Linked DNA regions of Kluyveromyces lactis. The protein of the gene in region 1 interacts with the protein of each later gene in a biochemical or structural test. Links are inferred from orthologs where the notes say so. Each region holds a gene or a part of one and is shown on either strand. Other genes may lie near its edges.

Evidence for each region.
Region 2: the proteins of ORC1 (region 1) and ORC6 form a complex in vitro, tested with the Saccharomyces cerevisiae proteins (3 studies listed by BioGRID). The link is inferred for Kluyveromyces lactis from reciprocal best matches to the Saccharomyces cerevisiae genes ORC1 and ORC6.
Region 3: the proteins of ORC1 (region 1) and MCM7 form a complex in vitro, tested with the Saccharomyces cerevisiae proteins (2 studies listed by BioGRID). The link is inferred for Kluyveromyces lactis from reciprocal best matches to the Saccharomyces cerevisiae genes ORC1 and MCM7.

The regions. Positions count from the first base shown.
Region 1 is NC_006038.1:453,257-457,569, reverse strand, and holds ORC1 (origin recognition complex subunit 1), read right to left. Parts: upstream 2,854-4,313; coding exon 193-2,853; downstream 1-192. Other genes in the region: ECM7 (Ecm7p), read left to right, coding at 3,326-4,313. UniProt on the Saccharomyces cerevisiae protein: Component of the origin recognition complex (ORC) that binds origins of replication. It has a role in both chromosomal replication and mating type transcriptional silencing. Binds to the ARS consensus sequence (ACS) of origins of replication.
Region 2 is NC_006042.1:2,246,166-2,249,344, forward strand, and holds ORC6 (origin recognition complex subunit 6), read right to left. Parts: upstream 1,752-3,179; coding exon 501-1,751; downstream 1-500. Other genes in the region: NMA111 (Nma111p), read right to left, coding at 1-241; histone methyltransferase SET1, read left to right, coding at 2,096-3,179.
Region 3 is NC_006041.1:2,065,526-2,069,712, forward strand, and holds MCM7 (DNA replication licensing factor MCM7), read right to left. Parts: upstream 2,801-4,187; coding exon 320-2,800; downstream 1-319. Other genes in the region: AAH1 (adenine deaminase), read left to right, coding at 1-58; KLLA0_E23211g (uncharacterized protein), read left to right, coding at 4,122-4,187. UniProt on the Saccharomyces cerevisiae protein: Acts as a component of the MCM2-7 complex (MCM complex) which is the putative replicative helicase essential for 'once per cell cycle' DNA replication initiation and elongation in eukaryotic cells.

The DNA of each region.
Region 1 (4,313 bases):
TGCCCGAAGCGGGAGGGTAAAGAATGAATAAACACGGTAAAATAGTAGTTAAAAAAATGCATCCTTTATTATATCTTTCTATCTTATAATTAAATAGTTGAAAAAGCAGTTTCATATTCTACTTAACCGCTACGCTACATGACAACCTAAGTAGCAATTATAATAGCAGCAAAGGCGTCTTGAAGGCATATACTAAAATGTCTTCAACATTTCATCTTCATGCAAGCATTGCTCCGCATCTTCCATGGAAATATTTAATTTGATCGTCGAGAGCCTCTCATTCTTCAAATATTGCCTTACTACAACACCTGCATCCAATAATTGCAATAAAATATAGTCCCAAGACACGGCCCTTAACTGTTCCTTTGTATCAACAGAATCATTTTGGAATAAAATCCGTTTCAACTCTAAAATGTATTTGTTATTCCCATTGACATCAATGAGGAGCCTCATTTCTTCTACGATATCACCAAGTTGTACGTCAGTTTGCTTCTTCTTAATTAAATTGATTAATGCGTATAGGAAAAGTTTTCCGCTAAATGACAGACCAGATATGAATTGTTGTTCCGGAGAGGTCGAACTTTCGTTTAATGCCTTGGTAATATGCTTAATTTCTACACTCTGTAATTCTTCATTTCCTGTACCATTGCCACTAGTATCTTTTTTGGAATTGACTAGTCGCTCATATCTAAGCCTCTTTAAGTAATCATTTTCCGCATATTCTACCGCTCTTTTGACCACCTTTAAAGCTCTCCGCACATCACCACTGACACTAGCAATTTTTCTTGATGCAATCTCAATGGCATCAGGATTAATCCTAAGTTTTAGTCGTTTATAGTTAGAGAAGTCTTTTCGCTTTTCTTCTTCATCAGTTTCTATAGTACTACTATCCGGAGAGATCATGTACGAACTCCCTGTCTCCGGGTCGACATAGAAACTAGATTCGTTCAAATATTTAAGTCTCAAATTGATGATTGTTCTAAGCTCTTCATGCGTGTAACCAGTGAACATAATTCTAGTAAAACCAATTCTGGACGAAATCTTGTTACCAAGATGGCGTTCGGGGAGATCTAAGGTGTTTGCGACAGCTACAACAATAAGTTTCGCATTTGAATAGGTAGCCCAGTTAAAGAAGTTGTACATTACATCTTGGCTCTTGCTAACTAATGCATCAAGCTCATCCAATAACACAACGATAGGACGTTTTTTCGTAGCTGGAACTTTGTTAAAATAAAACTCCAGAGATTCCATGGCAGCTCCAGATGTAAGCTTTTCTCCAGATATTTTTTGCCAAAAGACTTCATAACTATCACTTGCTTTGACAATCTTTAAACCATTGATTTCAATGTATTGGAATCTTGGAAGTTCTTTTTGGTCTGCAGATGTCATTAAATCCTTAACTACCTCTCGAACCGTCAAAGTTTTACCAACGCCTGGCGTCCCGGCAATGTAAATACTGGTGCTAGTGCCTGCTTCAATTGCACTGTAAAGTGAGAGGTATATACTTGCAAATTCATTTTCTCTTGCCGGAAGATAATTGTCGAAATCAGCAGCTTTGACAATTTCTTCTTTGCTATTCCTTGAGTTCAATTGCTTCTTCACCTTAGAAAAAATAGTCTCCATTTTGCCTTTAGCAGAAACTGTTCTGAATCTCTCCTCTAATGCAGCTATATCCAAATCATTATTATGCCTTTGGAAAATATCGTTCAAGTCAGGAATATCCTTCGGATTCTTATACCGTTTGGAAAATGGAGTATATGCCTTTTTAGCGCGCACTATATTATTCTTAAAGAACTTTCTAGGAGATGAATGAACTGCTGATGGCTGCAATGGAGTCTGTGATTTTACTGGTGAAATGGGTATATCTGGTTTAATAGATCTCACCTTTTTCTTGGCAGGTTCTACAATTGCAAGCTCTTCTGCAGACTGGTAATCTTCAAACTCTTCATCACTGTCCGAAGAGGATGCGTTTGCAAACTCTTCTTTACTTTCGTGATATTCAGATAAATCCGATTCATTATCTGATATAGCTTCCTTTTCGTTAACAATAGTAGATGCAATGCGTTGGACTTCAGCGTTGGTTTTGCTCACTGTTTGTTGAAAGCTTTTTTTGCTTGGTGTGTTGTCGGACTGCAATTTCGTCGCCACTACCTTCTCTCGTGCGTGGACCTTGGATTTATTTAAAGGTTTTGGAAGCTTGGGTAAAGTAATATCACGCAAATACTCCAGAGACACCTTAGGATTCGAGGAACGTATTTTTTCTTCAAAGAAATGTATATCTAAATCCGCCAGATTAGTTCCTGAAGGCAAGCATGCAGATCGACATAAAAACATATTAGAATCCATTTTCCCTTCATTGACAGAGTCTAAATACTCCTTTTCATTTTTAATATTAGCTACAAATTGCAAGTCCCGTAGATAAATCTCTGAAAGCTCAGCTGTCAAATACAATTCGTTCTTTATCGATTGTGACGCGAAGGTTTCCTCAAAAAATTTGTCACCTTTTTCCTTATTAGTCTCATAAAACTCTCCATCAAGCTGTTTATATCTTTCCGCAGCATTGATCTCGTACCAACTCAAATAGTTCAAACACCAGAGTTCTACGTAATTGCTTGTATTCAATCGCACCTCATGGATCATATACGCTGATAACTCGTCTGCACCCTCTACCTTGCACACAATCGTAACACCAGGATAAAGTCTGACTCCATCGTATCGTACCAAATTAATCACTTCATGTTCTGTAGCATCTCCTCTTCTTCTTCGCCTAGGAGTTTCAGCAATGAGATTCCCCTTCAAGTCTGTCTTCTGTATTTCCCATTGAACTTCAAACTCAGCTAACGTTGACGCCATGCCTAATAAACTCGCTACCACGGAATAAAAAGGAAAAATAATCAGATAACCGTTAAAATGCAGTAATTCCTTCCTAAACTAGTAGTAGTTACTTGCTGGCCAAGTATGTTGAAATGACAGCTACCTGTTTCCGTAGCATTCTTTTATCTCATAGCATATTGGTTGTTACACGGTTCCTCTGTTTACTGAATTAAGATCGATCTTGAAACATCAAATACGTGTAAAATGATACATAGTTTTCCCATTCCTGACGTCTAATTTTAAACCTTGAACCCTGGCAGAAACAGATCAAGAGATTTATCTCAAGAGTGATGACATGATAAACAGAATGAATTCTGCCAGTCAATTAACGAAGGTGAAGCAGATAAACACAGAAGAATAAAGGCAGCTGGCCTGCTGGAAAAAAAATTGAACAATTTCCCACGTTGATAGAGTCATACATAAGAAGCTTTTAGGAGCTTTATAAAAAGAAATGAGGTTTGGAAGTGTCTTGGCGAGGAATATATCGTTATGGAAATACTTAAAAGTGACCCTAGGACACCTCAACGCATTTGATAAGATGATGTTATGGCTGCGAGTTATAACTTCAGTGGGAATTATCGTTTTTGTCCTTGTTTTGACTGCTATTTCTGCCGCATCACCAAATTCGTTATATTTAGGACGATTGGACACTTCAAATGTTAACATTTTGCAGGGACTATTTGATAAGCTCAGCAGTTCTGTTGTCAGTGCAAAACTGTCTGATATTAATAACGGAGCAGGACTCACAACAGCAGAGATTCTTTTACTCACGCGGTATGTAGACTCACAGGTCCACGACGTGCCCGATTATATAAAGACAGGAGTTTACGGATGGTGCAGCATGAAACATGCTTCTCAAGAATTATGGCAGCCTGACGGTACTTGGAAGGAGGAACATAACTCTACAAAGGCTATGACTTGTCACAGGGAAGGAGCGCAATACTTATTGAACTATAGAAAGCTATTAGATGACCTAGGTTTGGGAATAGTGTTAAGTTACGCATACGGATATACTTACAACGATGGTGTTTTGGATCACGACAATGCAGAAAGTGCAAAATACAACAAATTTTTGGCTGCTTTGTCGAGAAGAAAAGTCAACATGGTCAATCTACTTTACGTCGTGGCAGTATTGGAAGTTTTCATATTGGGATCGATTGTCTTGTACTACATGATCAGGAATAGACCTGAACAAACCATGAAAACCAAAATCCTCCTGCATTCTATATCACTAATGAAACTATTGGTGTTTATTTGCTCTTTAGTAGCAGTCATAAACTTTACTATACTATCAATCAACATTCGTCAAAAGATTTCGAACGAACTTGATTCGTTTGGGTTTTCATATCATCTTGGAACTGGTTGGTTCACATGCTTGTGGATCTTTGCATTTTTCAATATTATATCGTGTCTCGTCTGGACGGGTTTCGAGTGGTGCA
Region 2 (3,179 bases), on another chromosome or scaffold:
AGACCACCGACTTAACAACTTTGGAGATAGTTTCTTGCCATTTAGCGTTGTTATTGAATAAAGAGTTGCCTGAATCTATAGGTACATCGTTCACTTCATCATAGTCTTCTTCATAATCAATATCTTCGTCTACACTACTTGTGTTCTGATCGACGTCATTGTCGACCCTCTGTTTCTTGGATTCAAGATCAATGTCTTCAACAGATGATTCGAGTAGGTTTCGCTTCAACTCAACAGTCATTTCACCAGTTACTCGGTACGTACTTCGCAGTTGATTATTCGAAGAGTAATCCGATCTCCAGAGTTCTGACAGACGGTAATGTCTCTCTTCAATTCATCTCATCTGCGCTCTCTATGTTTAGTTATCTTCTTTTTTTTCATCTTGCCGTTCCCTTCGGTAAACGTCAACGTGAAAAATTCATTAGAAAGGTAATGAAAACGTATTGAATGATAAATGCGAAGATGGGGACGGTGAGAAGAAAGGTATCGGAGGAAACCATTCATGTGCCATCTCTTAGACTGAGGTCGACCATAATTCTTCGTTTCCAGTTTGAGTATTGCTCTTCTGATACGACTTCATATTCGTCTTGTAACATGCTGCCTATTCTGACGGCGATAGCGTTATCGAAATCCGATCCATCGTAATAATCGAACTTGACACGGAGTTCTCGGTACCATTTCTCACCGTCTATTAGTTCTTTTGTGATCTTGATAGCTTCCATGATATCTTCATCATTTGTTGTTCTCATTTGTGCCGCCATCTTCTTCATTAGCTTGTTATCGATTGTACTGTCCTGATTTCTCTGTTGGTTGAAGACAACGAACGAGCAAAGAAGTACCAGACCACAAACCAACTGTGTAGGATACGCTAGGTAAGTAGCGTTGTTATTGAATTCGGAAATTATGGTAGCTGTTACTTCTTCAGGAAGTTCAAATTCATTGCACAGAGTCACCAGTTCAGCGGTAGACGGTCTATAGTATTTTTTGTATAGCATGTTCCATTCGTTATACTTACCTCTTTTCTTTCTTGGTGAAGGCGTGTATTTAGAAGGGGAGTCACGAAAGGGTGACTGTCTTAATGGAGATTCAGGATCATCCTCAACTGATCCAAACACTTGTGGTATATTGATCATATCAGTCTTATTCTTCGGGGTTGCTAATATGGGCAACGGAAGGCCATTTTCTGTATCAGCTTCAAACACTAATTTCCTCCGGACACTTGACCTACTCCCTTTGCTAGGTGAAAGATCAACATTCTTCAAGGGCTGGATACCACTTTTAGTTCTTGATTTCGACGGAGTCTGGAATAGCTGTTCTTGTAACGACTTCGGATCTATCCCTGTGAATCTTGCATTTTTAACCGCTGACTTTCTAACCGATGGTGATGCAGTATCATCAAACTTCAGCAATTGTCCTTCGGTATCCTTTTGCGGCGAATGAGGCCATATGTTTCTCTTAAATATATTCACAAGTTTGGATACTTGGTCTGGTGGAAGCGGGATCTTCTCCTGAGAATATGGTAGGTCATTGTCATACTTCTCAGCTAGTTTCTGAAACGCAATCAGTGCACATATATGGCACCGAGCAAGTTCCTCTGAATTCTTCAGCATCACTTTCGATACTGAAACGTTGTATAATGTTGCTGTAGTAGAAGCCACTTTCTTTAACCGTTGGTCTTGCCAGTCAACATTAGAATCATTTTTGACCCCTAATAAATCGGTTACACACGTTCGTACTTGCTGCGTAGACATCTTAAATTATTTCCACGGATTCTTAGCACTCTAAAGTGACTAAAATAGGATCATCTACTCACTTGTTGTATTACACTGGCCCGGAAAAGACATATATCTCATCTCATCTCCATGGACCATTTTTAACATAATATTAAAAACAGTCTTTATGTAGCTTTTTGATCTTTTTCTGATTTTCTCGATTTTCTCCAATATTGAAACAAAATATGGTAAATAATGAAATTGAATATTAATCAAAAGTATCATTATTCGCTTCTCCATCTATAAGTTCAGTTTTGGCAATACTTCTAGTATTTCATCTAGCATAAGTTGCTATTCCAGCGTGTGTGTATATTTTAGTTCTCATGAGTGGGTACTATAATAGACAGTACTCTCATTTTCATGGGAATAATGATCGGTACCAAACCGGACGATATGCATATCAAGAAAATGGGAATAGGTACAAGGGCTTCCAACGGAATGGATCAGGGAACCGAAGATACTCCCGCGAGGGGTTTGGGTCTCAACTTAGGAATAATGAGAACGAATCTCGTCCAATACGGTCGCAGTCGCGTGGTATCAGCGAGATTCCTCGTAATCCCTTCGCAACGCGTCCAGTAGTGAGTGCGAAATACGATCGCGATGAGTTTAATACAAAATATCATTATTACGACATTGTAAGTAAACGACTACGAAATGAATCCAGCTTCAAGAAATGGAAATCTGAGAAGATTCCTGAGCATGGATATGTGACAACAACGGAGTTGATTGCATCGGATAAGCAAAAACCAATACTCATGGCCAGGCAGCCTGAACAAACTTCGGTGGATCCGAGAATACGTCCTATGAATGGGGATGCGGTCTCTGGGTCCATTTCTGCGAAAAAGAGATATAGAAAGCTTAGAAGTGCATTGGTACGCAACTCGCGAATTCCGTATGATTCTTTCTACATTGGTCCTGAACCTCCAAAAGAAATCATAGTATACCCTTCTGCATCTAACCAACAACCAATAGCAGCCGCATTATCTGAAGCAATAATCAAAAACTACTTTAAATCATTTGGTGAAATAGCGCATTTTGAACAGTTCATGGATCCAAATAGTGCATTGCCATTGTACGTCTATCTAATAAAATTCACTGGTCCAGTTTCTCAACCTGATGCTCCATATAAAGCTGCTTATAAGGCATCAGAGAAATTCAAAGACGCACCTTACACAGTATCAGGTATCAAGTTCAATGTCATTTTAAACCAAAATACAGTGTTAAATTCAATAAAGGACAAACTAATCAAACAGAACGCAGCCAGAGTGACAGAAGTGAATAAAGCGAAACGGGCCATTGCAGAGAAATCATCCGGGCAGAAACCTCAAGTAATAAGAGGAGTGCCATACGATTTAACTCAAGTTGTGAACAACAGACCAGTTTTGTTTGTTCCTGCAAAGATTACGT
Region 3 (4,187 bases), on another chromosome or scaffold:
ACAAGAACTACTCTCTGAGGTTTCAGAAGTTGTAAACAAATATGTAAACTTACCTTAGACTAAGTAGTAGATGGCATAAGCTAGGTTTATGCACAAAATAGATAGATTTTGAATTCGACAAATTAATTTTGGTTTTGAAAGATAGACTGTGATTACTTCTGCATCGTTCAGTCTATCTGGGAGAAGAGGCACATTAGAAGTTACTTAAACGTTAGTATATAGTAATACAAATTTGTCGTTAAACTAGGTTTAAAACTAAAATAAGGAATAAAGGCATTATTGGATCAAAACAGATTAGTGGTATGCAGATAGTCAGGTATTATTCCATATCGACATCTTCATCCGGTGTCCTTTGCGTCGAAGGGTTAGTTATATCAGAATTGTCTTCCGTTGTATCATCAATATCGTCAATAAATAGCAAGGTGTTTCCGTCTTCTATTTGATGCCAAACATTAAGATACTCATACTCTTTGATACAGCTTACCAGTTGCAGCATAGTGAAACCTCTTGATCTAATCGTTCTTACAATAGCATCATACGGTAATCTTTTATTAAATCTACCATTTTCAGTCGCCATTTTCTTGATAATTGTGTAAATTCTGGTTGTTGGGTTTTCATCTTCATATGGGTTCTTGCGGTCGCTGTATAATGACTCTTTAGAGACTTCTACCAACCTCAAAGCTTCGTCTACATCTTCAATTTCCACAGTGTCACTGAGCCTTAGTTTTGCCAAGGCCTGTGATAGTCTGATAATTGCAAGTAAAGTTCTAGGTGTTGCTTGCCCAAACGAGAATTTAGAATCCAACGCTTTCTTAGAGTCTTGTCTCATTCTTGTATAAGATAGAACTATGTGTTCATTGACATCAGCTGACAACACAGGTCTCTTAGTCTTGGCGTATGCAATATACTCTCTCATTTCGCTCGAAGGAATTGGTTCGAAACCAAAATCAGGTTGCCTGTCATACATATGAACGTACGTGACGTGTTCTGCTAACTTCTCATCGTTTTCTTTGCTTGGCATATCGAGTAGTAAAAACATGATATCGAATCTAGACAAAAGAGCTGCTGGTAGATTAATATTTTCAAGTGGAGATAACCTTGGATTATACCTTCCGTATAGCGGGTTAGCAGCTGCCAATATGGAGGCTCTGGCATTTAAAGTAGTGTTAATACCTGCCTTAGAAATTGAAATGGTTTGTTGTTCCATAACTTCATGGATAGCAGTTCTATCACTTTCATCCATCTTATCAAATTCATCGATACAACAGATACCGTTATCGGCAAGGACGAGGGCACCACCTTCTAGCACCATTTCATCAGTCACTGGATCCTTCATAACGGCGGCTGTTAGACCTACACCAGAAGAACCCTTACCAGTTGTATAGACACCTCTCGGAGAAATTTTACAGATAGATTTCAATAATTGAGATTTAGCAACACCAGGATCACCCATCAAGCAAATGTTAATATCACCTCTGATTTTTAGACCATCCCCGACTTTTTTTTCAACACCGCCCACTAATAATAACAATAAAGATTTCTTAACATCGAGATTACCGTAAATTTCTGGAGCAATTGATTTAGCCAAACGGTTATAAACATCACCTTGGTTGACGATTTTCGCTACTCTTTCTTTCAATTGATCATCAACTTGGAAAGATGCGAATTTTTTCTTATGCTGGTACACAAACTGTGTCTCTAGGTACGTTTCCGTTAATAGACCAGCTTTCAAAGCACGGAAACCAGTGTATGGTGAAGGTAGATATATACCAGTAACATCTACCACATCACCTGGAATCATGGATCTAGTTAATGGCCCATTAATGTGAATAGTTAATGTCCTTGGGATATGCCCGATGGGCACTTGATCTGATAGTTCTTGAATTTTACATTCTTGGAATGCACTGAACTTTGATGCCCTAGTACTCATGAACAATTGTCCCTTAGTTTGATTTTCGGAACATTGGGCAGAGGGACATTCTATTATTGGGGTAAAAGTTCTTTTATTAACTTCTTGGAACACTTCATGACCGCACTGATCACAAGTATAAGCGTTGACTGTGACACTTGGCTTCACATCAGAGACTCTGGTAATGATACCACGGACTGTAATCAATTTTCCCAAATAAGAGCCTTTAATTTCTCTTACTGACATTGGTTTCAGTTTCCTAGTGGATCTGCTGGTTAACGGTTTAAAATACAAATGATATCTCCTAATCAACGCAGCAGGGAACAAATCAGCGTCCGTAGTGGCCAATTGATCCAAATTGGTTTGAGACTCTTCGCCCATCCCTTGAGCCATTTGTTGGAATTCATCTCTAGTTTCCAAGATATTTCTTTCGTTTCTCAATCTTCGTTGGTGTAAAATGACGTCCAATACATCTGTTTCGTAATCGATATCTTTCGTTGGAGGCGGCAATAGTTCATCTACACAGTTGGAGAAAAGTTCTGTGAACCGCTTAGTGTTTTCCATGATGATACGGTGTAAGTTAACTAAGTTCTTGCCTTGTGCTGCTGTATTTGACGAAGACAAATTTTCAAATTGCTTGGTGCGCTGATAATGGTACACATCGTCCAATTCGATATACAAGATATCTTGTTCTCTATTGGCAATATGTTGCAATTGTTGCAAGTACTTTGGGCCCTGACCAACTTCAGGATCCAAGTTATCGTCATTATCGTTCTCCCCAGTAGAACCGATAGTTTCCTCTTTGTAATGGATCAAGAAATCTTTGATATTATCTTGAGCTACCTCGTAGTCAATTCCGAGATCCAGTGTGGGCAAAACCGATGAAGCCATGGTACTGGTGGTGTTCTGAATCGTTGGTTGGTGTGAGTGGCAGCAGACAGTAGGAAAACTGATAACGGAGAAGTTGTTGAAGATTAGCAGAAAGTGTATGCGTAAATGTTTCAAAGATCAATTGGAAAAACGAAAGTGATTTTTATTTTACAGTTCCTAATCGGGTAGAAGATGAAAGACGCATTACCCGGACACAACCACGTGACAAAACATACCAACATAATTACCCTCCCTCTTATAGTCTATTTTTAATTTGAAATTGCAATTCAATTTTTCAATTTTCAGTACTTTTCATAAACGACCACATTGGCTTGGCTGGACCCCCGGTATAGAGAGGCAGTAACCTCAAAAATTGGGTGAAAACAACCTTAACATTGCATTATCTAAGCCTAACAAGTGTTCAATGGGCCAATCGAGTGGACAATGGATATAGTATAGGAATTTGGCATTCGTAAATGGACACCCCAGTTTCAGAAACTGAAATTCAACATTTCCCCTCGCTCAAAGTGTACCGCCGCCCCTGCCCTCAGGGATAGCCCTTGGTAAACGAGAGGTATGTCATCGCAACGCGTAAACCAGGTGTAATTTATTACCTCCCCGCCCCCCATAAATTGTTTACATTTTACGCGTTGTACCGTACGTAAACGTCAAAAAACGTAAACAAACGCGTAAACCGCACCCTTAAATTTGAGAAATCAATTTAAAAAATCAATTTAGCTCCTTCCCAGTTTACGTGTTGCAAAAATGCACTACATACGGACCGGCATACCAATAGTTTACAGTTTATGCCGTTAAACATCACCGAAGCTAATGTTTATTATTATTACTACTGTGTGGAAAAGGGTACAGGCCCCGGCACAGCCCTATGTGTCGGCGTCGTTCACAATGACACTTAGTCAGACCACATTTATTTCACCGTTTCTCAGTCCACACACTCAAGATTTCGCACAAAACTCTCAGTCCTACACACGTTTCTAAGATGCAAAAGAAAAAGCCAACAAAAAATTCTCAAAATAAAAAAAATTCGCCTAGCTGAGTATCTGCATTGTACTGTAATGTACCTTAAAACTGGAAATCAGGTTAGAACAGCTGTCTCAGACTGACTTTCTGACAGTTACCTCGTTATCTTTAGCATTTTAACTGTTTTTGGTTTGACTTTTTTATGCTTCGTTTAGCCCGAGATTAATATGCACACAGAGTGTTAGTATCGTTACACTAAGATGGTTTTCGGTTCTAGTTTTATATATAAGAAGTATGAAATGTGAATAGTTGAAGATTCGGTTCTTGTGATAGAGTATATTTTATATTAGGATTTAAATATATGTATGTGTATTGTCACGAGGTTAAACACAAACATAAAACTCAAACTATATACATATACACCTAT